5 linked regions of the Macaca mulatta genome follow. The protein of the gene in region 2 binds, or shares a complex with, the protein of the main gene of each other region. Links are inferred from orthologs where the notes say so. Each region holds a gene or a part of one and is shown on either strand. Other genes may lie near its edges.

What was found.
Region 1: the proteins of AP3D1 (region 2) and AP3B1 are in contact, whole or in part, in a cryo-EM structure (PDB 9C5C), measured with the Homo sapiens proteins. The link is inferred for Macaca mulatta from reciprocal best matches to the Homo sapiens genes AP3D1 and AP3B1. Residues at the interface, in NP_003929.4 of Homo sapiens: Lys352, Leu442, Ile446, Ser471, Tyr483, Trp487, Glu491, His517, Ala520, Val521, Gln524, Asn525, Lys528, Val561, Gln562, Ser563, Ala564, Leu566, Glu567, Gln569, Glu570, Arg571, Ser573, Cys574, Gln577, Leu578, His581, Ile582, Leu585, Lys588; in NP_003655.3 of Homo sapiens: Asn75, Lys466, Lys467, Gln470, Val494, Ala497, Ser498, Trp501, Leu531, Leu534, Gln535, Asn538, Lys542, Asn567, Tyr568, Asp569, Asp572, Arg573, Arg575, Phe576, Ile577, Gln579, Leu580, Lys586, Gly588, Ala589, Leu590, Ser591, Tyr593, Lys596.
Region 3: the proteins of AP3D1 (region 2) and ARF1 are in contact, whole or in part, in a cryo-EM structure (PDB 9C5B), measured with the Homo sapiens proteins. The link is inferred for Macaca mulatta from reciprocal best matches to the Homo sapiens genes AP3D1 and ARF1. Residues at the interface, in NP_003929.4 of Homo sapiens: Lys48, Asp50, Phe77, Ile80, Glu81, Ser84, Asp107, Met110, Leu111, Thr112, Thr113, Asn114, Gln115, Arg117, Lys118; in NP_001019397.1 of Homo sapiens: Tyr35, Ile46, Pro47, Thr48, Ile49, Gly50, Phe51, Asn52, Val53, Glu54, Trp66, Lys73, Ile74, Leu77, His80, Tyr81, Gln83, Asn84.
Region 4: the proteins of AP3D1 (region 2) and AP3S1 are in contact, whole or in part, in a cryo-EM structure (PDB 9C5C), measured with the Homo sapiens proteins. The link is inferred for Macaca mulatta from reciprocal best matches to the Homo sapiens genes AP3D1 and AP3S1. Residues at the interface, in NP_003929.4 of Homo sapiens: Leu18, Gln19, Val22, Arg26, Cys60, Thr63, Tyr64, Gln66, Met67, Leu68, Gly69, Tyr70, Asp71, Ile72, Ser73, Lys87, Phe88, Thr89, Arg92, Ile93, Leu96, Gln100, His103, Tyr126, Leu132, Thr133, Ser136, Tyr161, Lys164, Lys165; in NP_001275.1 of Homo sapiens: Met1, Lys13, Pro14, Arg15, Leu16, Ser17, Lys18, Phe19, Pro22, Tyr23, Glu25, Asp26, Gln28, Gln29, Arg42, Asp43, Glu44, Asn45, Val46, Cys47, Asn48, Phe49, Ser80, Glu81, Ser82, Glu83, Leu84, Gly85, Leu87, Asp88.
Region 5: the proteins of AP3D1 (region 2) and AP3M1 are in contact, whole or in part, in a cryo-EM structure (PDB 9C5C), measured with the Homo sapiens proteins. The link is inferred for Macaca mulatta from reciprocal best matches to the Homo sapiens genes AP3D1 and AP3M1. Residues at the interface, in NP_003929.4 of Homo sapiens: Lys29, Glu388, Gly389, Thr390, Thr391, Arg393, Glu429, Arg432; in NP_001307192.1 of Homo sapiens: Ser25, Ser27, Asp30, Tyr31, Glu34, Pro52, Asp104.

The regions. Positions count from the first base shown.
Region 1 is NC_133411.1:84,651,378-84,657,476, forward strand, and holds the start of AP3B1 (AP-3 complex subunit beta-1), read right to left. Parts: upstream 3,996-6,099; 5' UTR 3,877-3,995; coding exon 3,749-3,876; intron 1-3,748. UniProt on the Homo sapiens protein: Subunit of non-clathrin- and clathrin-associated adaptor protein complex 3 (AP-3) that plays a role in protein sorting in the late-Golgi/trans-Golgi network (TGN) and/or endosomes.
Region 2 is NC_133424.1:2,850,206-2,855,645, forward strand, and holds part of AP3D1 (AP-3 complex subunit delta-1), read right to left. Parts: intron 4,173-5,440; coding exon 3,941-4,172; intron 2,748-3,940; coding exon 2,602-2,747; intron 2,128-2,601; coding exon 1,986-2,127; intron 161-1,985; coding exon 89-160; intron 1-88. UniProt on the Homo sapiens protein: Part of the AP-3 complex, an adaptor-related complex which is not clathrin-associated. The complex is associated with the Golgi region as well as more peripheral structures.
Region 3 is NC_133406.1:85,833,395-85,839,505, reverse strand, and holds the start of ARF1 (ADP-ribosylation factor 1), read right to left. Parts: upstream 3,447-6,111; 5' UTR 3,406-3,446; exon of another isoform or gene 3,321-3,405; intron 3,245-3,320; exon of another isoform or gene 2,726-3,244; coding exon of another isoform or gene 2,664-2,725; intron 1-2,663. UniProt on the Homo sapiens protein: Small GTPase involved in protein trafficking between different compartments. Modulates vesicle budding and uncoating within the Golgi complex. In its GTP-bound form, triggers the recruitment of coatomer proteins to the Golgi membrane.
Region 4 is NC_133411.1:124,872,401-124,877,840, reverse strand, and holds part of AP3S1 (AP-3 complex subunit sigma-1), read right to left. Parts: intron 4,263-5,440; coding exon 4,155-4,262; intron 44-4,154; coding exon of another isoform or gene 8-43; exon of another isoform or gene 3-7; intron 1-2. UniProt on the Homo sapiens protein: Part of the AP-3 complex, an adaptor-related complex which is not clathrin-associated. The complex is associated with the Golgi region as well as more peripheral structures.
Region 5 is NC_133414.1:75,470,985-75,477,152, reverse strand, and holds the start of AP3M1 (AP-3 complex subunit mu-1), read right to left. Parts: upstream 3,685-6,168; 5' UTR 3,587-3,684; coding exon 3,584-3,586; intron 3,419-3,583; exon of another isoform or gene 2,961-3,418; intron 1-2,960. Other genes in the region: ADK (adenosine kinase), read left to right, coding at 3,850-3,914. UniProt on the Homo sapiens protein: Part of the AP-3 complex, an adaptor-related complex which is not clathrin-associated. The complex is associated with the Golgi region as well as more peripheral structures.

The sequences.
Region 1 (6,099 bases), on a different chromosome or scaffold from region 2:
GCCAAGAAGCCAAAGAGCACAACAGTAGAGGGAGTTGCAGCTGAAACATTACCATTTTGCAGCCATTGAGGAAGACAGGTTCAGGAGATTGATCAATGGTTGTTAAATGTAGAAGTGGTCAATTTAAAAAAGAGCAAGACATCTGCATGGTCTCAGTGTCTCCCCACAGATAATTTGATTAAAAAAAAAATAGAAATGATACAATAGAGAAACTGGACAACCCTGTGACTAGGAAAATTAACATCATGAAGATGGACACCCTACGCCTCCAAATGTAATAGTTTGAGAAGCACGCATCACCTATGGTAGTATTCCGGCCAAGGATACATAACCTGAATCTAAACATGAGGAAACACCAACAAACCCAAAAACTGATTAACATAAAATAAAATAATAGGCTTGCAATCCTTAGATATGTCAAGGTCGTGAAAGACAAAAAAGGCTCAAGAACTACTCCAGATTAAAGAAGACTAAAGAGACATGGCAACTAAATTAAATATATTATCTTGGACTGGATCCTGTACTTGAGGAAAAAAATTCTTGGGAAAAAAGAAAACACCTTTATTGGAACAAACGATAAAATTAGATTACATACTATAGATTGTACACACATTAAATTTCCTGAATCCATCAACACTGTAAGTTGTGTAAGAGACTATCTTTGTTCTTAAAAGTTACACATTGAGATTTTAAGTTTAAAAGAACATGATGTAGGGGCCGGGCGTGGTGGCTCACACCTGTAATCCCAGCACTTTGGGAGGCCGAGGCGGGCAGATCACAAGGTCAGCAGATTGAGACCATCCTGGTTAACACGGTGAAACCCCGTCTCTTCTGAAAATACAAAAAATTAGCCGGGCGTGGTGGCGGGCGCCTGTAGTCCCAGCTACCTGGGAGGCTGAGGCAGGAGAATGGCGTGAACCCAGGAGGCGGAGCTTGCAGTGAGCCGAGATTGCACCACTGCACTCCAGCCTGGGGGACAGAGCGAGACTCGTCTCAAAAAAAAAAAAGAACATGATGTGTACAACCGAGTCTCCTATGGTTCAGAAGACACATAACATGAATACGTATATGTGCCTGAATATGCATGGGGAGAGTGAGTGACAGAGACAGTAGGCAAGCAATGTAGCAATTTTTTTAATTGGTAAATCTGCAAAAGGGTTGCTCTCAGTGCTATTGTTGCAACTTTTTTGTAAACTTGAAACTATTTCATCAGAGTAAACCATTAAAAACCAGAGCTGAGGAAACAGGGTGAGCTTCAAGTTTTTTACATAAATTATGTCATTCGATTTTTTTAAAAGGCAAGTAATATTACAGTTTTATAAATGAGAAAATGTGGACTCAAGAGAGATTTAATGACCATTTCCAGAACAGGGGTCTCCTTGTTTCTGTACAATTCCATTAGATTGCAGGTCAACAGCCAAATGTTTCTAATCCCTGGAAGCTTCTCTGGTGGTACTACTTAGAGCTATTTAAAGTTTTAAAGCTTTCGTGAGTTGTATGCGCTCACTAATAAAAATACCATACATTTCATCAAGTAGTAAGTAGACATCGAAACTTTTGAGAGAATGGGCTCTAATATTAGAGCCTCTGAGTTCAAATTCAGGCAGTTCAATGTTCTAGCTTTGCGGCCTTTCCCAAGTTAACGATCACGCTCCAATTTCCTCACGTGTAAAGTGGGAGCAGCTGGTAATAACCTGCAGGGTTGTTAAGAAAACTGAATGAGATAATAAATGTAAAGTGGTGCCACAAACACTCAATAAATATCTTTTGGGGAACACAATTCAACCATGGTTATTTGCATATATTACATACCACCTCTAATCAATTAGCTACTTTTATTTTAAATCCAACCTATTAGGTCACCTCAAGAGCACTGGTCACAGAGTCAATGGCCATAAGTTTTTTGGGTTTTTTTTTCCAAATCAGGTCAAAATTTGACAAAAATCTTTTTCCTTTTTTTTTTCTTTTTTTGAGACGGAGTCTCACTCTGTCACCCACTAAAGTTAGAGTGCTGTGGCGCGATCTCGGCTCACTGCAGCTTCCACCTCCCAGGTTCAAGCGATTCTCCTGCCTCAGCCTCCAGCTGGGATTACAAGCACGAGGCACCACGCCCGGCTAATTTTTGTATTTTTAGTAGAGACGCGGTTTCACCATGTTGGCCAGGCTGGTATCGAACTCCTGGCCTCAAGTGATCCGCCCGCCTTGGCCTCCCAAAGTGCTGAGATTACAGCCGAGAGCTGCCGTGCCTGGCCCCAAATCTGACAAAAATATAAGAGAAAAGCCGGAAAGAGGAGAGTAGCCGAAACAAGCAAAGTGATCGCGATGGGTTTAGGAAGGCGATCTGGCGTGCTAAATGGCGTTTCCGGAGAAATCCGAAAACTATTGCTTTACAGAAGTATACTAAAGAGCTGCCCTGGGTCTGGAAACCCCTTAAGGGATCAAAATGGATGCAATGGGTATCCTTCTCCAATGACACCCCTCACGGGGTGTTCACAAACCATAAAAGTAAATTAATTTGCAAAACAGATTGATGCCAATTTACAGGTTAATTCAGTCTAAACATTTTGCTTACAGTAAAGGCAACAAGCTCCGTACTTGCTCTAGAACAATGGATCACCAAATGCATATAATGAAAAATTATATGAAATGAAAATGAAAAGTTACCTTACTTTTAAACTTTTCTAACCTGGGAAAAAGGAAACGAAAATATTGTATCGTACGTACTATCTATATGATTTTGATCCTCAATACAGCCAAAATGTAATCCCAATTTCAAGTAGTAGCACTTTCTAGACTACCCAATATTGTTAGTAACGTTTAATTTAAATTTTAATTATACCCTCTAACATATCTGCAAAGCTACCAGCACAGCTATTCTACCTTAATTTAGCATGAATTTAGCGACAGACTATTATGTGACCATATTGCTTAGTAATGAAAGATTTAAAATAAGAGAAACGTAAAAATGATAATTGTGGTAAATTTAACCACTACCACCACCCCAATACCACCATCCCACCCCCCAAACAAACAACTTGGGATTTCTTTCCATTTCTCGGTGATACTTTTTACAAAACTAAGTGTATCTTAACATTCGTTTTTAAACTTCACATTATTAATTTGTAAAAGTTTAGGATTTGTTCATAGTAACACTCTTAAAATATTTTCTATTCATATGCTTATTTTGGATTGGTGTTTTTGTCTGTAGTGCAAAGGATATAATCCAAGAACACTGATACTGGTATAAACCAATTTGTCCATTCAAACAGCCTAAACCCACCTCTCTCCTCCTACACTCCGGGGTCACAAAATAACTTCCCACAAGCAACACTCGCACTCTCACCTTGACCAAAACACTCGTTTCACCCTAATCAGGGAATGTATCAAAGTCTGATCCGGCGAACGATAAATAAACTTAGAAGACTATGCTCAAAATTCAGATTCCCGAGCCCAGACCAAGTCCAATTCAATCAGTGTCTTCAGGGGTGGGATCTAAGCTCACCAAGCGGTTTCCTTTTCACTAAAGTTTGAAAACTACTAGAGACCCCTACACACACACGCCCCAAACTCCCCCAACTCCCACCACCGCCAACCAACCCCACCCACCCACCCGTGGGACACGTTACCGCCCAGGTCTGCTCAGATCTCAGGGCGACCCCGCTCCACTCCAGGGAGCCCACCCGGCGCCCACTCCTCCGAGTCCCCAGCTCCTCCCTCCCATCCCCGTACCCCAAACCTTTCTCCTCACTTCTTCAAATCGCTGCTAAAGAGGCCGAAGGCCCCCGAGGGGGAAATGGTTGAGGTCGCCTCCTGACCCAGCTCCGTCGCCTCCCCTCCTCCGGACTGCTCATTGTAAGAAAAACTGTTGCTGGACATTGCCGCGGTGCTGGCGGGTGCGGGGTTGGTCCTGCCGGGGGTTCTCTCCGAAAGGTTCCAGTCCAGAGGGCACCGAACAAAACTAGTTCGCGTACCGAGGAGCGCGCGCAGGCGCTTCCGGACTCGTCACCGCTCCCTGAGCCGACCTAGCAGTCCACCCCCTGCGCATGCGCAGTGTGCGGGAAGGCAGGATACCACCCGGGCCGTCCAGGCCTGCGCGGATTTCCCTGCTCCGGGCTTTAGAGGTAGCTGAGCGGCTGCGAGCCTGGCTGCGGAAAGGGAGGCAGCGGGTGGCGAACTGCCAGGCTCCCGGCCCGTGAGGGGTGTCATTGGAGAAGGATACCCATTGCATCCATTTTGATCCCTTAAGGGGTTTCCAGACCCAGGGCAGCTCTTTAGTATACTTTTGTAAAGCAGTAGTTTTCGGATTTCTCCGGAAACGCCATTTAGCACGCCAGATCACCTTTCCTAAACCCATCGCGATCACTTTGCTTGTTTCGGCTACTCTCCTCTTTCCGGCTTTGCCTTACTTTCATATCCACCCGAAACAACTTTTCTCCCAGACTTTAAGGAGGCCTCTCCCAACGATGGTTTGGAGGAGCCGCACAGAAGCGACCATTCCATCCTTGCAACGAAAATCTTGGAGGCAGACCGGCGCGGTGGCTCACGCCAGTAGGGCACTTCGGGAAGCCGAGGCGGGCGGATCACTTGAGGCCAAGAGTTCGAGACCAGCCTTGGCAACATAGCGAGACCCTGTCTCTGCAAAAAATATAAAAATTAGCCGGCGTGGTGGCTCGCGCCTGTGGTCCCAGCTACTGAGCCTGAGGTGGGAGGTTCACTCAAACCCAGGAGGAGGGGGTAGCGATGAGTTGAGATCGCGCCTTTGCACTCCAGCCTGGGCGACAGAGCGAGACCCTGTCTCAAAAAAATTAAAAAGAACAGAAAACATCTTGGGACCACCAGTTCCAGTTTAGAGCTGAAGTGGTGCGTCCTACTGGCGTCTAGCTACCAAAAATAAAATGGACCACCTTGCGCGCCAGGCGCAGCTGTCATCTGACACTTCTGTGTCCTGTCGCCGTCGTGTCACTCACTAATATGCACTAGGGAGCCTAGGCGGGATGCTTGCCTGGCCCCGGAGTAGCTCTCTCCGGGTGCTGGCACCCGAGAAAACCTCTTTCCAGGAGTGACTTCCCCCAGCCCGCCTTCTCGGTTGGGTTTCAGAGCCTTCCCTCTCTTCTCTCCAGTGCCTCCCGTCCAGGTAGGCGTTAACTCCCAAAGCCTTGGCGGCCAGGTACTGAAACTGTCAAGGGATTCTACCAGGTAGAACGCGAACGTGGAGACCGGCAGCCTCTGGGAAGGCGGTGGGGCGTTTTCAAGGATCAAAGTATGATCTCCAAGTTTCAAAAGGTCAGACTGTCACTGTGGAAGCACGCACGAGCGTGGCTCTGGGTGGGAGAAGAAGGAATGTCCTCCAAACTTCATCGTCTGGTTAAATATTGGCAGGTTTTTAATTCGACTGTTAGAATACTGCTCCGGAGATCCAATGATGATCACCTAAAATGTGTTTGTCAATATTAATGATGTTAATTAATAACATTTCATCTACAACTGACTATTGATAATGAAGATGGGGATGATCATAGATAACTATATATTATTATATAATCCTTAATATATACCACAAACTATTCTAAGTAATTTTATATATATTAATAGTAAAAAGAGTTAGGCTTTGGTTACTTTATTTGTAAAAGGAGAACATTGATATACACATAGCCTGGAAAATACCTGACACATACCTGATTATAGAATTTCTTGGTTTTAGAGTTTGTGCACTTTTACCAGATATCCTAAATTTTTTGCCAGCATAATTTTAGCAGTGTGTAATCTTCTTTCTTCACATTCTCACAAACGTTTAGCTTTCTAAAAATGTTTTATTGTCATCAATATGATATGAAGGAATATTATTTGTATGGTAATTAATTTTCATTTTCATGGTCATAATGAACTTGAGAATATTTTATGTGGTTACTCCATTTGCATTTTATTTCCTGGGAATTGCATATGAACCTATTTATCCACTTTTACACTGAGTAGTTTTTCTGATGGACTTGAAGAGTTCTTTGTCCTTGAGTCTGTTATTTTTAATTAACTGCTTGATTTTACTTTGTAATATTTTTATTTTTTCACACAGACTCAGGTAGGAGACTGACCTACAATATT
Region 2 (5,440 bases):
AGGAACCTGAAACTCAGAAGGACGCCACAGGGCATGGGTGGTGAGGGTAGAGGGTGCTGAGGGACAGGCAGCCGGGGACGGGCCTCACCTTCTGTGGCGACGGCGAGCTCTTGATGTAGAAGGGGTTGTTGGCCTGCTCCTGCTTCCGGGCCTCTCGGCGCTGCGGGACACGACTTGGCATGAGCTCAAGCGAGCGGGCAGGATACCTCTCTATGGACGTCCACTACCAGCCACCCAACCAGGGAAGGCTGGATCTTTGGCTATTTTCACTACTGAGCTTTTACTAATAGGGAAACCAAGGCCCGCAATTGGGAAGAGCGCATATTGGAGAAAAGGAATCGCTAACCCTCTGGGACGCAGGGACACACATGCCTCCACTGCCAGGGTCAGGACCAGGACCCACGGAGGCCGCTGACCTGCCTGGGCTACCCGGCTACTGATGAGCAGCTCAGACGGGCTGGGGCTGCTGAGCTCGGGACAGGGCCTCCTGATTGCCAGGGCTGCCTGAAAGCACGGCCTGGAGGATGCAGGAGCACAAAGGCCCGCACGCAGCCCACCATGGGCATTCCCTCTGTCGGTGTAGGATGAAAGGAGAGGACTGCTGGAGGGGCTCCCCTCTCTGCACAGGTGAGCAGGGCGAGGTGGAGCCCCACACGGGGCACAGGGGCTGCATCTGCCTCGGGAGGATGGGGTCCAGGGGCCTCCTTCACCTTCCCCAGCTTCTGGTCTGGGTGGGCTGCACGTGTCTGCAGTGTCTTACAGCAGCTATGGCAGGGTCAGGGAAGGGCCCCACACAGGCACCCACACGCCCCCAGCTGCAGGTCGGGTTAATGGAGTTCTCCTCAGGGGGGCTCCTGGATCTAGAGAAGCTGTCCCCCATGTCTTTTTTTTTTTTGAAATGGAGTCTTACTCTGTCACCCAGGCTGCAGGAGTACAATGGCATGATCTCACTGCAACCTTTGCCTCCCGGGTTCAAGCAATTCTTTTTTTTTTTTTTTTTTGAGACGGAGTCTCGCTCTGTCGCCCAGGCGGGAGTGCAGTGGCCAGATCTCAGCTCACTGAAAGCTCCGCCTCCCAGGTTTACACCATTCTCCTGCCTCAGCCTCCCGAGTAGTTGGGACTACAGGCGCCCGCCACCTTGCCTGGCTAATTTTTTTGTATTTTTTAGTAGAGACGGGGTTTCACCGTGCTAGCCAGGATGGTCTCGATCTCCTGACCTCGTGATCCGCCCGTCTCGGCCTCCCAAAGTGCTGGGATTACAGGCTTGAGCCACTGCGCCCGGCCGGTTCAAGCAATTCTATTGCCTCAGTCTCCTGAGTAGCTGGGATTACAGGTGCCCGCCACCGCACCCAGCTAATTTTTGTATTTTATTTTATTTTTTTTGAGATGGAGTCTCACTCTGTCGCCCAGGCTGGAGTGCAGTGGCGCGATCTCAGCTCACTGCAAGCTCTGCCTCCCGAGTTCATGCAATTCTCCTACCTCAGCCTCCCCAGTAGCTGGGGCTACAGGTACCCGCCACCACGCCCGGCTAATTTTTTGTATTTTTTGTAGAGACGGGGTTTCACTGAAACCAGGATGGTCTCGATCTCCTGACCTTGTGATTCGCCCGCCTCAGCCTCCCAAAGTGCTGGGATTACAGGCGTGAGCCACTGCACCCAGCCAATTTTTGTATTTTTCGTAGACACAGGGCTTCACTATGTTGGCCAGGATGGTCTTGATCTCTTGACCTCATGATATGCCCACCTTGGCCTCCCAAAGTGCTGGGATTACAGGCATGAGGCACCGCGCCTGACCAAGATGCTCCCCATTTCAGTGAAGCTCAATGAAACTCAACCATAACATGAAATACCCACTTGGGGCGTCCTGGAGGGCGGCGGTGCACAATCTTGAGCCAACAGAACCAAGCACCGGACTCAGGAGCCTCAAAGACTCCCTGGGACAGGAGGGAGGAGGCGAAGGCCCACCAGGGGCACCCAACGGCTCACCCGAGCCAGCTCTTCCTCGTCTGCCTCGGACGGCCGGTGCTTGGGGCGCCGCTGCTCTTCCTCGTGGAAGACGGCCCTGGGCCTCTCGTCCTCTGACTCGCTGTCCGAGAGTGGCTCGTTGATCCAGGCGTCTAGGTCCAGGCTGTGCCGGACAGGAGGGTCACACAAGGCAGTGTGTGTGACCGAGCACGCGCCTGCAGGCGCCCACCCTGAGCAGGCTCACCACGTGCCTGGCCATGTGAGACCCCAAACAGTGGTGCCTGCTACCCACACAGGGCCAGCGAGGCAGGTGTCACTGCCCCTTAGAGAGGATGCAGAGACCCAGGAAGGCTACAGCAGGGTCACAGTGGGGCCCTCACGGCAGGTTCAGGCTGCCTCAGAGCTTGAAGGCAAGGGTGGAGCAGGCCCACCTCCCAGGGAGCATCCCCAGGTTCCAGCCAGGTCCCAGAAGCAGAGAGAGCCCCGGTGAGTCCAGCGAGGGGCGCCCGCCCCAGGCCTCCAATCAGCCCCACACCCTCCTGGCTGTTGAGGGCTGCAGTAGCCCCCTCTGTGCCTCCAGGCATCAGGCGACCACGTCAAGGCTGTGGTTGCAATGCCCCCACCCCCGTATCCTTACCCTTCAGGGACTGGAACCTTCTTCTGGGCCTTGGGGGCCACTGGGTTCAGCTCCCCAGCAAAGAGAGTGCTGACCTCCTCCGCCACGGGCACGTCCTTGGCCTGAAGCTTCTGGATATGCTTGACCAGCTGCAGGATGCAGGACGCCTGCGGGGGACGCAGGAGTCACCGCTGGCACCTGCCCGGAAGGCCATTTGGCCACCCTCAGGGACACTGGGTGGCTAAGCCCCTGGCACAGTGACGTGCGGGCCCTCTGGCACAGCCAGGTACCCACAGAGAGCCCAGCCTTCATGCCATCTCCATTGTCATCCTTGACAAGCAGCGGCGGAAAAGACCAGTCCACAAACAGAACAGAGATGGGGGCACAACAGGGAGCTTTGCCCACTGCAGAAATGCCTCCCATAAGGCCTGTGCCCCGACACCAGAAGCACCACCTTGTTCGGCCCCTGCGGGCTCCCTGCCTCTGTGCTGGCTGCAACTCAGACACAGCCAGGCTGGGCAGCTCCAAGAGTGACCATGGGCCAAGGATCATGGCCAGCCCCCAGATAATGCCACTGCTCAGAGAAGCCCGGGGCCACACCCCATGCAGCCTTGACGCTGGGTCTCCTCAGCCACTGGATGGGCTGATGCCGCTCCCGATCTCTCTCACAGATGACCAGACGCAATGTTTCACATCTGTAATCCTTGCACTTTGGGAGGCTGAGGTGGGAGGATCATCTGAGGTCAGGAGTTTGACCTGGCCAACAAGGTGAAACTCCGTCTTTAATAAAAATACAAAAATTAGCCGGGTGTGGTGGTGGGTGCCTGCAATCCCAGCTACTTGCGAGGCTGAGGCAGGAGAACCCCTTGAACCCAGGGGGCGGAGGTTGTCGTGAGCCGAGATCACATCACTTCACTCCAGCCTGGGCAAAGGAGGGAAATTCCATCTCAAACAAAACAAAACAACAAACAGAAAAACAGAGACCTGGGAACTGGTGGGCACCAGCTGGCACAGGTGTACAGTCTGCTCAACCCAGAACCCACGTCACCTGCAGGGCACCAGAAAGAGCCACAGCCAGCCCCAGGCTCTCACACCTGCTGTCTCGCCGCATGTGAAACAGGCTCTTCCTATGGCCAGGAGCAGCACCCCCACATACCCAGCACCCCAGAGACCTGCCCAGTCCCACTGACCTAAAGGTCCCACTGACTAACCCCAAACCCCAGCTGGCACAAGTGGCAACAAAGGAATCTCAGTGAGTGGCTTCAGAAGAGGAAGGGAGGCCCCGTCAACCTGGCCGCCGCTGGACAGAAAGGCACTGAGGGCTCCCTGAGGCTTGGCCCAACGCTGAGTGCAGCCTTACCCGCTCCTGCACCTCCAGGTCTGCGCTCTGCACAAACTGGGGCAGCCGGTCCACCATGAGTTGGGTGACGGCCTGGGCGCCCTCTGCCTCCCCGGCCTGCTCCTTCTGCTGCAGGATGTTGGCGTACAGCTTGACCACGTTCTGCACATACACGGCCTGGATGTGGCCTGGCAGCGTGGTGACTTTGGGCCGTAGCATGGCCTCCAGAGTGTGGTGCGGTTCCTGCAGATGCCTGAGGACAGGAAACGCCGTGAGTCCCCAGGATGCCCGCCCCAGGGCTCCTCTCCAACAGGTGAGGACCTGGGAGGCCTGGGCTTGTCACAAACGAGGTGACTCTGGGCCTTTCCCATTCCCTGAGCTGTCTCCGGGGGCTGAGACACGAAGTAGAAGAAACCAGGGGCCATCCATAGCCCATAACACGAACAAGACAGAGATGTGGAGATGACAGAGCCACTGAGCGGAGGACAGGTCAGAAGAGGAAAAAGGACAATGGGGTCGACTGTGCAGTTGGCCCTGGGAAGATGAGCAGGACGGGCAGGGAGGAGACGGAGCCGGGAGACCCTGATCTGTGGGACACTGGGGCCTGGGGGTGTGCCTCACTCACATCTGACACAATGTCTTGGGACTTGGATATGTTTCTAGTCCACTTTTCTCCCACCAAGAAAATAATAGAAGTGGCCGGGCACTCACCTATAATCCCAGCAGTGTGGGAGGCCAAGGCAGGCAGATCATGAGGTCAGGAGTTTGAGACCAGCCTGGCCAACATGGTGAAAGACTACTTCCACTAAAAATACAAAAAATGAGGCCAGGTGCAGTGGCTCACGCCTGTAATCCCAGCACTTTGGGAGGCCAAGGCAGGCAGATCACAAGGTCAGGAGATCGAGACCATCCTGGCTAACGCGGTTAAATCCCGTCTCTATTAAAACTACAAAAAATTGGGAGGGATTGCATTGGGAGTTATACCTGATGTAAATGACGAGTTGATGGGTGCTGACAAGTTGATGGGTGCAGCACACCAACATGGCACAAGCATACATATGTAACAAACCTGCATGTTATGCACATGTATCCTAGAACTTAAAGTATAATAATAAAAAAAAAAAATACAAAAAATTAGCCAGGCGTGTTGGCGGTCGCCTGTAGTCCCAGCTACTCGGGAGGCTGAGGCAGGTGAATGGTGTGAATCCGGGAGGCGGAGCTTGCAGTGAGCCGAGATAGCGCCACTGTACTCCAGCCTGGGCGACAGACAGAGCAAGACTCTATCTCAGAAATAAGAGATCGAGATCAGCCTGGCCAACATGGTGAAACCCCGTCTCTAATGAAAATACAAAAAAATTAGCCGGCCTTGGTGGCAGGTGCCTGGGATCCCAGCTACTCGGGAGGCTGAGGCAGGAGAATTGCTTGAACCCGGGAGGCAGACGTTACAGTGAGCTGAGATTGCGCCACTGTACTCCAGCCGGGGCAAAGCTTGGGAGACAGCAAGACTCTGTCTCGGGGTGA
Region 3 (6,111 bases), on a different chromosome or scaffold from region 2:
GGGGCTGTAGATGCTGTTAACTACTGAAGGCAAAAGTGTGGCTTCATGATATTAGTGTGATTGATTAAATTATTGGCTACTGGTGACCAGCTCAATCTTCAGTCCCTCTCCACTCTGGGGAAATTGGAGGGTGGGGCTGAAACCCTCTAATCCTACCTTGGCCCCGTGACTAGCCCTACCCTGAAGTTTCGTAGGGGCTGCCCGTCACTGGTCAACTCATTAGGGTACAAAAAGACATCATCACTTTGGAGATTCCAAGTATTTTAGTAGTTGTATGGCAGGAAATGGGAGGCAGGCCAGATATGTATTTTGCAATCCACAACTACAGACTTCTAACTTCCTGAAATGTTCATGGACTGAATCAAGTCTCCCGTTCACTTCATGCTGTACACTAACAGTGAGCCCTGGGCCTCCGGGGTGTGGGAGAACGTCTGCCTTCTAAACAGAATCATTCTCAATTGCTGTGCCTGTGAAAATCTGCCTTTTATGCTTTCCCTGTCTCTTCTCTTGATGTCATTTAGGCTTTTCCTGTTATCAGGGCCTGTAAGAAGCACCACCTTTCCCAGTCTGTTGGCTGACAACCGGCTGCAAGCCCTTGTTACCACTGTGTGAGAACCAGGAAACCAGGATTAGTCAAGGACATTATGGCTAATCAGCCAGCCTTACTGTCTTCTCATCCCTGTAGATGGTTGAGTGACAGGACCCTGGGGGAGGACCTGAGAGCCTCTTGGGAACAAAAAACATCCAGGACATGTCTGTCAAGTTGCTAACAAGGTCATCTGACCCACCTGAGAATGTGAAACTACCTTCCAAGACGGTGCTGGGCACCTGCACAGCTGTAAGGTGATAAGTGCAACTATGCCTTAAAGAGTTTATAACAACCACAGGAAAATACGAACCTGAGGATGAAGGCAAATCCTGGAATCCCAACATGAAGGGGCTAAACCTTTTCCAAAAGACCACTTCAGATGCTACAGGCAGGATACCCCTACCAACCAACCACACCAATGAGGAGCAGGCACAACACAGAAAACACAAGTTCTCATAATTTAAGATCCCCACTGCAAGGCCTTTTCCTGTTTCTCTCCCAATTACCTCTGACAGTGCACTCTACTTCCTTTCACCCTCTTGAGTTTACCGAGGTGAAAGGTCAGGGGGAGAGGACAGAATGCCTATGAGAGACAGTATGGGCCTGCCAGCCCAGGCTGGCTGCAGCCTCTTGCTCAAGAGAATGGTCACAGCTCAGGAAGAAGTGTGTACAAAAGCTTGGTGAGCATGGCCTGTGAGTAAGAGCTGGTTTAAATACACCAATGAGACATTTAATTTGAAGAATCTAGAAAAAACTGCTTCAACTCTCTGAAACCACAGTCATATACTTTGCGTGTGAACTTGCACAACAGGTTTTTTTCTCTTAGTTAGGTCTACTTCTATGATCACTGCAGCAGCTGACAGTCCATATTAAATTTTACTGAAGTGAAAAATGAAAGGCCAAATGCATCTTCGAAGCTATAGTTTCAAGCCTGTCCAGTCTGTAGGGGCAGATGAGCAGGTGAAGATGTCTGAATGTCCTCTCCATATTGTGCAAGAGGTACAGCGCATAGCTAGACTACATGATGTACAAAATCAGAACTGTGAGGGGCACAGAACCAGTTTTTGCTTTTCACTCACAGTCATTCTGTGACTCAGCTGTTGTCCAAACCAACTGTTTCAAATCTTTTTCAACTAGCAAATCTGAAAAACTGCCTGACAGGCAACAGCATATTCCTACTGCTGCAATGATTTGGATTTATTTTCAACAAGATACACCTAAAGACAAGTGACAGATATTCTCCGGTCTACCAACATGTGAAAACGTGGACAACACACCTCTAACAATGTGGCCAATCAGATGTGTATACTAACATTTATACTACTCAATTCTTCTCAATTTTGGACCCAGCTAATAGTACGGCATTTCAGGACCTTATGGTTCTGGCTACCTTGGTAGTGCTGGTGAAAATTCAAATTAAATGAGGACATCATCCATGCAGTCACACGTGTTAGACAATGGCTAACGCAAAAGCAGAGGGCCACAGGGGCCGCACACAACCGCACCTCGGCATCTCACACTCCTCCCAACACACTGCGGAAAACGCCAGAACCACCAGCCTTGCAACAACCGGCGGCAGAGAAAACTGCTGACCACTAGTTCTGAAACAAGAAATACAACTGCCCACTCCAATAGGGGCAGTGGCACCAACTCTACAGCTCTAAACTAGGCGGCGACTTCGGGGACCATCCAAAGACTCCGACCTCCCTTCTTTTTCTGCCCGCGATTCCGAGCGCATTTCTGCTCAATTCCTGCAAAGCAGCAACTGGCTGCCTGGACGGAAAGGGAGTCCGCCAGGAAGTGCCGTCGGAATGGTTATCTAACACTCTAGGTGCGCACGGCTGTACAGACCCAATCTCACAAGCCGTAACCACCCAGGCTGTGCCCCGAGAGAGCGCTGGGGCCGGCCTCTGCGGCCTAGAGTCTACGAGCAGGTCGTTCCGCAGGCAAGTTAAAGATTCACCAGCTCAAAAGAGGCCTTCTTATCTACTGCCGACAACGTCAAGGAAACCACCCTGGAGTTAAAGCGAACATCGACCGGCCCTCTGGAAGCCACCGGAGACTTCATACTGACCCCAAATCGCGTCTCACTGTTGTGAAGGGAGGCACTCTGGGCTTCCCCGGAGGTCCACGCATTCCGTTCAGCAGACAGGGAAAGGCGCAGGGTCCCTGTCCACTGCCCGCCCGCTCGCTCTCACCGCCCCTGACCCAGTGCCTTCCTCAGAAGAAACACGAACTGGATGGAGTCGGGAGGCGAAGGTGCAAGCCCCCACCACCTACGTGACCTTGACGGTGTCTTGGGGCCGCCTGAGCCTCAGTTTCCCGGTCCCCGAGGCAGCGGTCCGCCCGGATGCCGCTCGCTAGCCTGTACTCGGGTGGAGGAGGCCCCACAACCCCCACCGGCCCCCGAGACCGCTAACCCCAACCCTCCACGCGCGGGCGGCCTCGGGAAACGTGAGGGGCAGAGGTGAGGGAAGCAGGAAGCCCAGGTTTCCTGGAGAAGAGCCTGGCGTCCCGGCTGACTTCCGGGCGACGGGCGGGGGCAGGGACTGGCAGAGGAGGACAAGGGGCCGCGGGCGACTCCGGGAACCTGTGAGGGGCGCGAGGAGCTCACCGACCCGCCCGCCCTCCCAGCCCCGACTCCCCAGCCTCAGCCCGGCCCGTCCTCGTCCGCCCCCGGCCCGGCCCTGTCGCCGCCGCCGCCGCCGGGATCGAGGTGCCCTTCGCGAACCTCAAGTCGCCCCGAGGCCAGTCCCCAGACCCCGCCGGCTCCAACTTGTGTGCGGCCCACACCGACCCGCGCCCCTCGCCCTCACCTCAGAAGCTGCTGCTTCGAGCCAGGCGTTGGTTTCGCTCCCACAAGATGGCGGCTCTGACGGCGGCCACGTCAGCGCCTGCGGGCGCGGGGAACGTCGGGTAAGAGGCGGAGACGCCGGGAGCTCCGCCCCCCGTGCGCCCGCGACGCAGGCGCGCTGGCTCCAGAAGGGCTGCAGGGGGCGGGGCCGGGGACACCCAGCCCCGGGCCGAGGTCCTAGCTCGCGCGCGCCTTAGGGGTGCGCACCCGTCTGCGCCTGCGCCTGTGAGTCTTCCGAAAAGACACCTTGTGGCTGCCACACGCCCGTTTGGCAGATTCGGAGACTGAGGCCCGGGGGGCTGCTGCAGCAACTGGAGCGGCGGGGCCGGGTTGCCACCCTCCTCCTCCCCGACCCGGCAGTCACCGCGAGCCCTCGGGGACCGCGTGAGGACTGGGGTGCGAGGCGCCCCTTCGCTGGGATTGGGGTCCCTGGCTCCCAGGCTGCGCGGGTCCGTGTGCCCCGGCCCTGTGGAAACCTGTGGCACTCGCGGGGCCTCGGCGGAAGGTCCGAAGGAGGGAGGCCTGCTATGTCCCCGCACTGGCCTCGGCGCCCCGGCGGCCGCAGTGACTCGCGCGGGCTCATGCCTGGGCTCATGCCGGGGAGTTGGCTACAGATGAAGCAAAGGAGGAGGTGGCCTGGGGACCCCGGGGGGAGGCCGGGGCTGTGGGGGTGGTGCCCAGAAGGGAGGTCACAGCGGTCTCTAATGAGCTGGCCTTTCAGCTGAGATCCAGTTGAGGCGGAGGAGACCCCGCTCCCAGGAAGCCCTCCTGGATTGGTCAGAAGGGAACAGAGGCCTGGCTCTGCCCACCACCCTCAGGTCTTCTTGCCTCTTCCCTTGTGCAGCTGTGAGGGATTGGGCTTGTGGGAGAGCGTCCGTGCAGCACAGTTCTCTGGGTATTCTGGAGGTCGGGAATCAACCTGATTTGTCCAGGGGGAGGCCCGGGGGCAGGGCCTGAGGGGTGGGGTCACTGGGCCTGGCCCAGGCCTCCTGCGCCCCTTTGCTGCCGCCATCACCTACCTTGCTTGCCCCTTGGGCAGGGCATCCTCACTGCCACTGCAGGCTGCGATAGTCGGAGTTCTCCCCCAGGGCTGCACCTGCGGGGGCTTCGAAGGACCCCAGAAGTGGTGACCCTCCTGCCCCCAAATTCAGTCCCTTTTTCTGCCTGGGGCTCCCCTCTGAAATCTCACCTCTGTGAAGCTGCGGCAGGTTGTCTGTTTAGGGGAAGGATGTCTCCCTCCCACCCTACAGGCATCTCAGATACTCTTGGAAAGCCCCAGGGAGGGGTGTGGATGCCTGTGGAGCCTTCTGATTGTGCTGCCTCTCCCGCTCAGCCAGAACTGGACCATGCTCGGACATTTCATGGGGGATACATGTGGTTATGGCCACTTTAGGGCTGAAGGGACCTGGCTTTGGTTCTCTGATGGCAGAGCATGGCCAGGGGTGGCTCCAGTGTCACTGAGTGGGGATTGTGTGGGAACCAGAGCCTGCTTCCCCTTCCTTTAAAATACTCTATTTTTTTTTTTCTTTTTTTGAGATGGAATCTTGCTCTGTCGCCCATACTGGAGTGCAGTGACACAATCTTGGCTCACTGCAATCTCCGCCTCCTGGGTTCAAGCAATTCTGCTGCCTCAGCCTCCCAAGTAGCTGGGATTGCAGGCGCCTGCCCCTACGCCCAACTAATTTTTGTATTTTTAGTGGAGACAGGGTTTCACCATGTTGGCCATGGCTGGTCTCGAACTCCTGATCTCAGGTGATCCACCCGCCTTGGCCTCCCAAAGTGCTGGGATTACAGGTGTGAGCCCCCGTGCCTGGCCCCTTTAAAATATTTTATTTTAAATGTGAAAAAATGCAGACAGGAAAGAGTGTATGTCAGATACATGCACAGTTTAAAAAGTAATAAAATGGATTTCTGTATACACAGCCCTAGGGTTAAGAAATGTACCTTCCCCAGCCTGGGCAACATGATGAGACCCCATCTCTACAAAAATTTTACAAAGATAGCCAGGTATGGTGACACACACCTGTAGTTCCAGCTACTTGGGAGGCTGAGGTGGGAGGATCGCTTGGGCCCAGAAGTTCAAGGTTACAGTGACCTAGGACTCTGCCACTGCACTCCAGCCTGGGTGGCAGAGTGAGACCCTGTCTGCAAATAATAATAATTTTTTAAAAAGTCCCTTTCCGCTGATTCTGTGCTCCTGGTTTGGCCTCCCCACCACCACCAGGACAAAAGTGATGTCTTCAAGCCAGACAGGCGCAGGGGAGCCCAGGTAGTCACACCCAGATTTCTGCCCCTGGAAGGAGACCCACTAGGGAGCTAAGAAGTGTCAGGCAGTGATTTCCTGGGGAAATTGAGGCCCTGGTGCTCTCCCAACACTGCCTAGGGAGTAGGGATCCCTTTCTCTCTACTCTGAGGTCCCTGGGATCAGATGAGGTTTAGCCAAGAGGGGTGGGATGAGCTGGCTAGAGGGAGGGCATTGGGGGCCAGGCTGGACAGGGACCCTCCAGCCTTTGTGGCTGCCTCCGCTGTCAGTCTCAAAGATGCCAGCTCAGGTGGGGCTGGGCTTCTCTCTTCTGGGGGTGGCTGCACCTGAGAACCAGGTCAGAGACACGGATGCCAAACAACGGAACGGGCTGGCCTCCTAGGGAATGCGGCTAGAGGGACAGAT
Region 4 (5,440 bases), on a different chromosome or scaffold from region 2:
ACCTTGTCTACCTGTCCTGTCTGGGAGACTGAAAGATAAAGGTCTGTAAGAGAGAAGAATGGAAAGAGCTAGAAAGATCAGGATGTTCGGAAAAAAAAAGAGGACTGACTTTCAAAAAGTAGTGACTAAATTCAGACCCATTTATCCATCTTAAGAATAACATGAAATACATAAAAGCTAACAGATCTCCCCAACCCCACCCCTCTACCTCCACCCCCAGGGAGTCCTTTCATTCTTAGGCAGGTTCCTGAGTGCCTCTTATACTTGCCCCGAATCCCATCACCCTCCCAGCTTAAACCCTCCTCTCCCAATATTCCAATGTTACAGTAAACCATTTTTCTATCAAAACAGAACAGATGGAAGTACATTCAGAGTATATCTTTGCTTCTCTCTTTCAGGATCTGGGAGAGCTTTGCTCTACCTGTCTAGGTATTGGGAATTAAATTGATTCACTTTTTTCCATTACCAGAAATGTACTAACTTTAGACCAACATAATAAAAGCTTTGATTTCTGACAAAGGCCCCTAGATAAATGCATGTTATGTTTCAAAAGCTGTGTTTTAATTATACCCAGAATGATTTTTAAAGATAAATGATGTTCCTAAAATATTAGTTAAATGATGTAAAATATTGATAACCAGTTCTTTTCATCAATCATGACATTCTTGATTTTAAAAGAGTCTTTTTTTGTGTTTGTTTTTGAGATGGAGTCTTACTCTGTCACCCAGGCTGGAGTGCATCGGTGCAATCTTGGCTCACGGCAACCTCCGCCTTCCAGATTCGGGCGATTCTTGTGTCTCAGGCTCCAGAGCGACTGGGATTACAGGCAAGTACCACCATGCCCGGATAATTTTTTTTTTTGTATTTTTAGTAGAGACGGGGTTTCACCATGTTTGCCAGGCTGGTCTCAAACTCCTGACCTCAGGTGATCTGCTTGCTTTGGCCTCCCAAAAGTGCTGAGATTACAGGTGTGAGCCACTGCGCCCAGCCAAACAAGTCTTTTAAGTTTATGCTTATATAATAAATTTTAACTGAAATTTAGTAAGAAGATTAGTAAAAGTTTATACTTTGCTTTCAAGTAATTTTGGATTATTCTGCAGAATAATATCTCTGATAAATTTAACCAATTGAAGTAACATGGACATGAAACATATGAAAGCTTTTGACATTTCAATGTTTCTGGAATAAAGCTAGACGTCGTTCAAACATACTTAAAATATATGAAAGCTACTGAAAAATTAGTCATCATACTTTTCAGTGCTGTTTTAAAAAGATGATCAGGACTAAATGGCCTCACTTTGATTTGAAATCCGATTTCATAACTAAAATATTAGCAGACATTACATGTATAGAAAATATATAATTTTGTGGTTTATCTCCAATCAAACTTAAAACATACTTTCTTGTAAAAGACAAAAAAAGAGAAACTAATTTGGTACGAGCTAACAATTATGTATGATGCAAGATGATCAGGGAATGAAAAATAGAAGTAATCACCAGTATTCTAAACTATTTTAAATAGCATTATTTCTGTGAATGGATTTTAAGTTATAGTATTCTTATAACTATTTCCATTGAAATGTAAATTACATTTTACTGCTCTTTATAGATAAGAAAAATTGCCTCATTAACGAAGTTTTATTCAACAATCAAAAAGCAAATACCCATTATGCAATAATTATAGGTCCTTCATGACTTTCGTCAATATAGCACATTAACCCATTTATGTCAGAGGTTGCAAACTTTTTTTTGTGAAAAATCAGACCTTGGGGATGACCCTGAACAGTAGGATACAAATAACTCCCACAAGCTTAGCATTCCAATAACGGAACACTAGGCATAAATGTGTTAAGTAGCAGAAGAAAAAGAAGGACCACCACCAATGGAAAGGAGTTAAGTACCTGGAAAGGTGAAAATTCCAGACAACTGGTCATACTTTTTATAGATGATTATACAGAATTCACAAATTACTAGATACTCATTCATTATACCAGTTATTAAAGGATTGCATAACTGTTTGTCCCTTGGCATTTAAAATCTATAACCATACAGTTTTGCAAAGCAATGTTTAACAAATGACACATATTTTAAGTTCTTTTAAAACTTTAAAAGCAATAGCTCAGGGTTTACAGTAACCTTTTCCTTACTAAATAATATATTGCAAGTCAGTTATACTAAATTAAATTATGAGTCTTTTTCCTTGTCCCAAAACAAAATTTTCTCTATTAACCTAATTTATGTTTTCCACTTTCAAAAGCCAATATTTTAAAAATTGGCTATAGGACAAACAAAATGTATAGTTACTTAAGAGAATCTTAGCTCTAAATCACCATTATAAACTTCTCCTTTGGGAAACCAACAGGAATGGGAAATTGAGATAAAAATGCAATACTATTTTATTTAAAAGAGAACATTGGAAAATGTTTTTATAAGAAAGCTTCAACTGTTTCTAGATTTCAAATTTATTCTTCATTCTGCGTTTTCTTCAATTAAAATGGGCACAGAATTGAGTTAAACTGATCCTTTAAAATGCCAACAAGATAAATTTTTCAGAACTCACCTGTTGTAAATTAATGCCAGTGTATTTTTAATACCTTGATGTTTTCATAGTAATATTTACTTTAAATCAACAGAACATCTGAGCTTAACACTAATAATTATAAATAAAGTTTGTTTTTTCCAATCTGAGTTATGACTGCAAATACCAAATTTAAGAGTATCCTCAAACCAGCTGGGTGGTGAATGAGATATCAAAAAATTATTGATCTTTTTTTTTTTTTTTTTTTTTGAGATGGAGTCTCGCTCTGTCACCCGGGCTGGAGTGCAGTGGCCGGATCTCAGCTCACTGCAAGCTCCGCCTCCCAGGTTCACGCCATTCTCCTGCCTCAGCCTCCCGAGTAGCTGGGACTACAGGCGCCCGCCACCTCGCCCGGCTAGCTTTTTTTTGTATTTTTTAGTAGAGACGGGGTTTCACCGTGTTAGCCAGGATGGTCTCGATCTCCTGACCTTGTGATCCGCCCGTCTCAGCCTCCCAAAGTGCTGGGATTACAGGCTTGAGCCACCGCGCCCGGCTTTCTTTTTTTTTTTTTTTTGAGATGAAGTTTCACTCTGTTGCCCAGGAGTGCAGCGACGTGATCTTGGCTTACTGCAACCTCCATCTCCAGGGTTCAAGTGATTCTTGTGCCTCAGCCTCCTGAGTAGCTGGGATTACAGGTGCGCTCTACCTGCCCAGCTAATTTTTTTTTTTTTTTTGTAGAGACAGGGTTTCACCATGTTGGCCAGGCCAGTCTCGAACTCCTGACCTCAAGTGATAAAACTATTGCTCTTTCTAAACCTCTGCTAGGGTAATAAACAACCCAAATAATGTGAACCCGGGCGGCTCAGCTACAGCACCTGCTACTGATATTCAGACTAGTGCTTGAGAGAAGAGTCACTAAAATTCTGAAGTAGGGTTTTTATACAATGCTAAAGTGCTGGTTGTTCCTCATTTATCCAATCTAAGGTTGAATCTAACAGCAGAAAGTTAGCTAAGTATAACAAACCAATCCTATAGAATGCAATAAAAACCACGGATATATATGTACCAATGTCTAAAATATGTGACTTAACTAACTTGTCAGTGAAATCTTAGGGAAAGATCTAGAATTAAAAGATTAAAGTATTGAATTTCTTTTTTGAATGTGAACTCAAACATGCTAGGCATTTATTTATAATTTGAAACATTACTTACTTCCTTATAAGAATTCCATTTCCTGTCCCTGCCCTTTCCAGATGTAGTTTTGTAACACAAAATTTATATATCTTTAAAATATTAGTTCTAAGACTTCCTTGATAATTACTGACGTTTTACAAAGCAAATATTAGATTCCATTATTCAGATAATTCTTTTAAGCAATAAGATTTGGAATTGTGCTTATTACCCAAGGCAGCTATGACTGTGGCTAAAAGAAGAATACACAAAGCTGTTTGGCAGATAATAGTCACAGAACCTTTAGCATACTAATATGTGTATATTCAATTTTTTAAAAACTGAATAAGCATAACGGCTGAACCTAAAGGGTGATACTGAAGGACAAACAGTGAAAGCTACAAATCATGCGTAATCTGTCATCATGCTTAGAACCTTTCTTAACTATAGCATTTTCCATTCTTACCTCAGATTTTTCCAGCTTATTTTGTGCATCAATTTGTGTAACAATCTCATTCATGTTTGTCTCCAATACCATTCCCCCCATCACCATTTCTGCAAGAATATTGTGAACCTAAAGGAAATAAAAGAACATATACCCATAAAGAAAACTGACTAAAAAGAAGTTTCATGATTCACTTTTTGTTTCAAATACCACTTCATCTATATTAAATGTATGAGTGGTAAAAACAACTTGGAGTAAGGGCTCATAATCCACTTTCATCACTACTGTGAAGTCCTAGGCAGTTATATAACCCCCTTAAGTTAATAGGCTATAAAACATTAAGTTAATGAGCTTAATAGGCTATAAAACAAAAACAATAGTACTAGCTTCATAGGACTGTTGAAAGGAATAAGGTAATCCAACGCAGTACTCAAAACAAAGTAAATGACTAGTAAATATTAACTACCATTCTTATTATGTCAAGTTTAATACTAAAATATGATTTATAAGGGTCTTTTATGCCAGATTCGTAGCCAACAATAATTAGGTTGTTATTTTACTCATTGTACTTAATGAAGCAATGTAGCACAGTACTTCTAACAGGCTCTAGATTGGAAAAAGCTAGAATTTTTAAAATTGTGGGTACTTTAATAGTGCTTTTACCCCCAAATCCTCTACACATGTAATACTCAGATTTCTTCTCATAAATACATCTTATAATGACTAAAAATGGTGTCTTCCATTGGGAAGTAAAAATATAACTTCATGTCTTTTCATAAGGTATTATTGGATCAAAGAAATCAACAATTCAGAGCTGAATTACATTTCACAGAAGAATCTACTCTGCTATATATATATATTTTTAAATAATGTGGTAAGGTTAGAAACGGAGACTCCAAAATTAGATAAGCATGAATACTGGCTCTACCACTTATTACTTGTAGCCTTTGAGCAGTTACTTCAGCTCTCTGAGTCTGTTACCTTATTTACAAAATAGAGACAGCAATAATATAGGCACCTCATAGAATTACCATAACAATTACATAAATAATTCATGTAAGTGCTTAGCATAGAACTACTAAGTATTATAAAGTAATTTATTTTTTTTCAACGAATTCTTTTTAGGAGTTAAATATATATTATTTGATTTAAATTTCTTTGTAAGATTTCATGCAAACTTATTCATAATTTTAAAAATATCCCTGGAGGCTGGGTATGGTGGCTCACACCTGTAATCCCAACACTTTGGGAGGATGAGGTGGACAGATCACTGGCAATATGGTAAAACCCTGTCTTTACAAAAAATG
Region 5 (6,168 bases), on a different chromosome or scaffold from region 2:
ACTTCATCTTCTTACCACCCTGCCAATCAAACTCCTCACCCATAAAGCTTTCTATTATTCTTTCTTTTTTAATTGTAAATTGACAAATTATAGTTGTATATATTTAGGGGTACCAGATGTTATGACTGATGAATAAAATGTGGAATAATTAACTGAAGCTAATTAATATCACCATAAAATTTTAATACCACAGAATATTCTCTGTTTATGTAATGTATTTGTGCTCTATACATAAAAAGAGTATATATATTTTTTTCACCTCACAAGAAGCGGTTTTTATCTGCTTTGAGATTGCATGATTTAACACACAGAGGACATTGGTGATCTTGGTAAAAGTGGTTTTGGTGGGCTAGGTGTGGTGGCTCACACCTGTAATCCCAGCACTTTGGGAGGCTGAGGCGGGTGGATCACGAGGTCAGGAGTTCAAGACCAGCCTGGCCAACATGGCGAAACCCTGTCTCTACTAAAAATACAAAAGTTAGCTGGGTGTGGTGGCAGGCACCTGTAATCCCAGCTACTCGGGGGGCTGAGGCAGAAGAATCACTTGAACTCAGGAGGTGGAGGTTGCAGTGAGCTGAGATTATGTCACTGCACTCCAGCCTGGGTGACAAGAGCAAGACTCTGTCTCAAAAAAAAAAAAAAAAAAAAAAGTAGTTTTGGTGGTAGTTCAGTGGAATGCTAGAAATAAGTGGGCTGGGAAATAAACAGCAAGAGGTGTAAAAAAAAATAGAGATATGTAGAGTAGATTCAAGAAGTCTAGCTGTGAAGAGGATAAAAAGATAGGAAAATAAATGCAGCAGTTCATAAAGTGAAGGAAGAATACATTTAAATGCTAAAGGAAAGGTGTGAATAGAGGAGAAAAAGCTGACACAGGAGAGAGGGAAAAACGGAAAGAGGACCCTGACACAGCAGGATAGCATGCTACTGGGAGACTAGGTGAAAGAGTTTGCCTTCTCTAAGGAGAAGGAACACTTTCTACTCTTCAGATTGAAGGGAAGGTTTGTATACTTGACTGCAGGCAGATGATGGTTCTCCTTCTCTGTGTAATGGGAGAGAGGTCATTTCCAAAGGGAGGGAGAAATCCTCTTCTCTGTAAATACCATGTGCTACTCGTGAATTGACATAGTACTGAGCTACTTAAAAATATTTAGCCTGCAAAGAACTCCAATAGAGTATGTGTATATGTATTTTTTTAAGAGTTAGGGTCTCACTTTGCTGCCCAGGCTGAAGTGCAGTGGACCAATCATAGCTCACTATTACTTTGAACTCCTGGGCTCAAGTGATCCTTCTGCCTCATTCTGCCTCCGCCTCCTGAGTAGTCAGGACTACAACCATGCGCCACTAAGCCTGGCTAATGTTTAAATTTTTTGTAGAGATGGAGTCTCGCTATGTTGCCCAGGCTGATCTCCAACTCCTGGCCTCAAGTGATTTTCCCGCCTCACCCACCCAAAGTGCTAGGATTACAGGTGTAAGCTACTGCACTCTGTCTGCCAACAGTATATTGTTGGTTTTTTTTGTTTGTTTGTTTGTTGTTTTGAGATGGAGTCTCACTCTGTTGCCAGGCTGGAGTGCAGTGGCACGATCTCAGCTTACCACAACCTCCGCCTGCCGGGTTCAAGCGATTCTCCTGCCTCAGCCTCCCGAGTAGCTGGGACTACAGGCACATGCCACCACGCCCATATAATTTTTGTATTTTTAGTAGTGACAGGGTTTCTCCATGTTTGCCAGGATGGTCTCAATCTCTTGACCTCGTGATCCACCTGCCTCAGCCTCCCAAAGTGCTGGGATTATAGGCATGAGCCATACTGTGCCTGGCCATATATTATATTAAATGGTTAGAAATAAAAATCATAAGATTAAGAAAACCTAATCTTGTTGCAAAGAGAGCTTTCCTAAAGATACGTCAGGTCTTTTTTTTTTTTTTCCGAGGCAGAGTCTCACTCTGTCGCTCAGGGTAGAGTGCAGTGGTGAGGTCTCAGCTTACTGCAACTTCCGCCTCCCGGGTTCAAGGGATTCTCCTGCCTCAGCCTCCCAAGTAGCTGGGACTACAGGCGCGTGCCACCACATCTGGCTAATTTTTGTATTTTTTGTAGAGACAGGGTTTCACTATGTTGGCCAGGCTGGTCTCGAACTCCTGACATCGTGATCTGCCCGCCTCAGCCTCCCAAAGTGCTGAGATTACAGGCGCCTGGCCAAGATACGTAAGTTTAACATAATTCTTTTCTCTTATAGTGTCAATAGAAACTGTCACTCTGCCTTTCCCAAATTAATCCTTTCACTTGTAACTTGATCCCATTCCTTTCCTTCTCTTCTGGGAGGTAAGACTTTTTCTTGAATCTTCAAATAGTTGCTTGTTTCCTGCCCCCAAATAGATATCTTGTATTCTTTAAAACAAACCCCAAACTTTCCCCCACCTTGCCACTCTCAATAATCTTGCTTCATGCACCAAATGATGAAGGATTAGTCTCCACTTGCAGTCTTTCCTCAGTTACTATTAAAGCATCTCTCTCAAATAGCTCAATGACTTTCTAATTATAAAATCCAACGACCTATTCTGATTTCAGCTTCCTCCTCTGGCCATTGCAGCATTTTATGTCATTGATAACTTTCTCCTAAACAAAAATACTTCTTACCCTTTTATATGAAACTTCATCTGCTTTGGGTTTCACCTTGAAAGTCTTTCGGGCTTAATTCTCACAATTTTTTTTTAAAAGTCTTTCTACAATCTCCATGTAAACCACTTTCAAATTCGGTAAAACTCAAACTCCGTAAAATTCCTCCTCCTGTCAGTGACACCATCTTCTTAATCACATAAGGCTGTAAGCTTCGGGTTCAAATTTACCAAATACCAACAGCCACATCGCCCGTCACTTTTCCATACTCACTGCCACCTGCTCAGCTTAGAACCCCGTTACCTCTCTCCTGAAGAACTGCAATACCCTTCTCACTGCATTCCTCACCCCAGGCTCTTCCAGGCACCACCCATTAACAGGACGTCCGCTCAGGTCCTTTTGGGGTTTTGTCCTCCAGAGCAGAAACCTGGGACTGAGATTCCTGCCGTCTGTACAGAGGGGGGACCCAGGAAGCTCGACCTCCGGGGCTCAGGCGCCTGAGAACACTAGGCTGCAGGTGGACCGCTCCCTTCCGGCCTTGCTGGCGAGAAAGCCCGGAAGGCCGGGAGTGGGGGGAAGCCAGGCCCTGGCCCACGGCACCAAAGACGCTCCTAGAGCCCAGATCGGAGTCGGGGGCCCCAGCTATTCAGCCTACTCCCGGGTTTTGGAGCTGTCCCCAATCCACATATTTCCCGCCCCTCACACTCACCCCGACACCTGTGCCAGTCAGTGATTCGGCGCCGGGTCCTCTCCAGACCGAAGCTGAGGAAGCTGAGAAGGCCGCGAGGACCCGCAGCCGGAGTGCCCAGGAGATTGCCTGATTAACAGCTTCAAAGACACCGACTATGTCTACCATATTAGAAAGATTAAATATGCCGGAAGACCGTAAATGAGAGGAAAGACGTCTGTTGAGGTTTAGTATCTAAATATTCTACATCATCCAGGACCTAGAAAAATGGTAGGTTTCTCACCATCTAGATTCAGGCGGTTATCCGCGGCCTAACTCAGTCTGGGGTCCCATATGGCGGGGGAGGCGGGGTCAGGAATGGGCGGGGCATTCGCTGTCGGTGGTGAGGAATAGAGCCAATGATTGTGGATGACAGCGGCACAGAATGGGCGGAGTCTGGAGGGGCGGGATTTGGAGGAGAGAAGGCGGTGATGCGAAGAGGTGGGGGGGGGGTCAGAGAGTATATGGCAGAGGTGGGCTGTAGAACCAAAGTAGGGTGGGAGCGCAAAGATGGCAGCTGCTGAGGAGGAGCCGAAGCCCAAAAAGCTGAAGGTGGAGGCGCCGCAAGCGCTGAGGTGAGCGCTGCCCGACTTGGGGAGGAGGGTGACAGCGCCTGCTGCAAGCAAGCCCGGGCCCACGTGGGGTTTCGCGGCTCCGGCGCTGGGTGGTGTCTCTCATTGCCCGCTTGGGGCCAACACGCAAGACCTGCCGCGCGGGGAGCTGTCTGTCTGGCCGCGACCCCTTGCCGGACGTTCTCTCAGTTTGGCCGAGTCGCCGCCGGTCTGGTGTAGCTCCGGCTCCAGCAGCCCTTGGCCAATCGTGGCCGGCGGAGGGGGGGCGAGCCGGCTGCCTGCGCCACCTGCGAGCAAGCCCAGGCTGGGCTGGTGCGACCCCGGAGGGCCGGACCGGAGCTGCGTCTTTACGCGGCTGCCTTCTCTTCCTGGGGGATGGCGGGGAGGAGGCTCGGCAACTGCTCTACTCTGGGGCGAAGTCAGAATTTTTGGGGATTTTTCGGAAAGTGTTGCGGAAGGCCACGTTGACCTGCCTTTTCGTACACATTCTGAAAGCCTGCACCTTTGAGGACCCTCTACCAGTGACCCAGACCCCTCCGAGGCTTTGCAGGGGCAGCATTTGGATGAATGGCTGGGAAAAGTTGATTTTTCTTTTTTATTTGCACTTTTTGGCAGCAACGGAGACAGTGCTGCCCCTAACACCTGCCTCACATGTGATTGATGTTGCAACTTTTACTTACAGAGTCATTTGTTAAAATATCCCTTCCTAATAAGTGTAAAGTGAAGCAGGCAGTCTTTGATGATTTGGAAATGTTCGTTGAAAGGCAGTGATTTTTTTTTTCCATCTTAAAATAGGCATATCAAACTGATTGAAAAGTATTGGGACACTCCTGATTATACAAGACGTATCCCATTTCTTCCTGTATCACTTTTCTTCACCTCCAAAAGAAGGAATCACAATTGAAAAGAAAAGAACACTTAGGGGCCTGGTGGCGTGTTCATCTGCTTTGGAGGGTGAACAAATCCATGCCAGTGCCTTTAATGTATTCCTACTACCCTCAAAGGGTTAGCGTGTCTACCTCATACCAAGAACATAAACTTTAAAATAAAAACTCTCTGGATATTCTATTTTTATTTTAAATATTCAAGCTATATGCAGAATAAAGAGCAAGGGCTTTTGAATCAGACCTACCTGAGTTAAAGGCATGTGCTTTCCCTACTCTGCCCTTTATTAGAGTATTTCCTTTATAAGGCACCTCCTTCGCCAAACTGGAAGACAGATGCAACTTTTCCCTACCATCCTACTAAACATACAACCCTTAGATTTCCTTAGATTTTTCCTTAATAAAAATAATTATATATAATGCTGATCCATTTTCACTGTGTTTTCCTATTATCTTGTTGGACAGTTCTGTGATCAAAGGAAGGCAAGAATTATGCCTATTTTACAATTGAAGATATTGAAGTCCAAATAAAACAATTAGTACAGGGACAGAAATAAGAACTAGCTGAGCATCCTTTCTTTTTTTTTTTTTTTGAGACGGAGTCTTGCTCTGTCACCCAGGCTGGAGTGCAGTGGCCAGATCTCAGCTCACTGCAAGCTCCGCCTCCCGGGTTTACGCCATTCTCCTGCCTCAGCCTCCCGAGTAGCTGGGACTACAGGCGCCCGCCACCGCGCCCGGCTAGTTTTTTGTATTTTTAGTAGAGACGGGGTTTCACCGTATTAGCCAGGATGGTCTCGATCTCCTGACCTCGTGATCCGCCCGCCTCGGCCTCCCAAAGTGCTGGGATTACAGGCTTGAGCCACCGCGCCCGGCTGAGCATCCTTTCTTATACCTGCAGTCCTGGTGCTTTGTGAGGCTGGGGTGAGAGCATTCCTTAGGCAACCAAAATTCACTTTATACAATATGAACTTAATGCCATCTGTAGACATGAAGTTAAAAGCTTAGACATTCGAGTACTGGGACAAATCTCTAATTTTGTCGGGAGACATTTTAGGATTGGCTATTATTACTTTTATTATATTAGTTTGACTTTCAGACTCAAAGTGTGAGAATGCATTGAGTATTTACACTGAATTAATTTATGATGACTTGCTTGACAGGGGATTGCTACTAGTTTTGGTTAAGGAGAATGGGTTATAAAGACTAAGCATAATTTAATGTTCAGCATCAGTGGGAACAGATAATGAGATATATTTGTAGATGTCAGGGAAAATATTTAGGAGATTTAGGGATTTCTGAGAATTTGGTCAGCTCTGGGACAGTAGTTCTCCACCAGGGGAAATTTTGCCCTCCAGGGGACATTTGGCATGGTC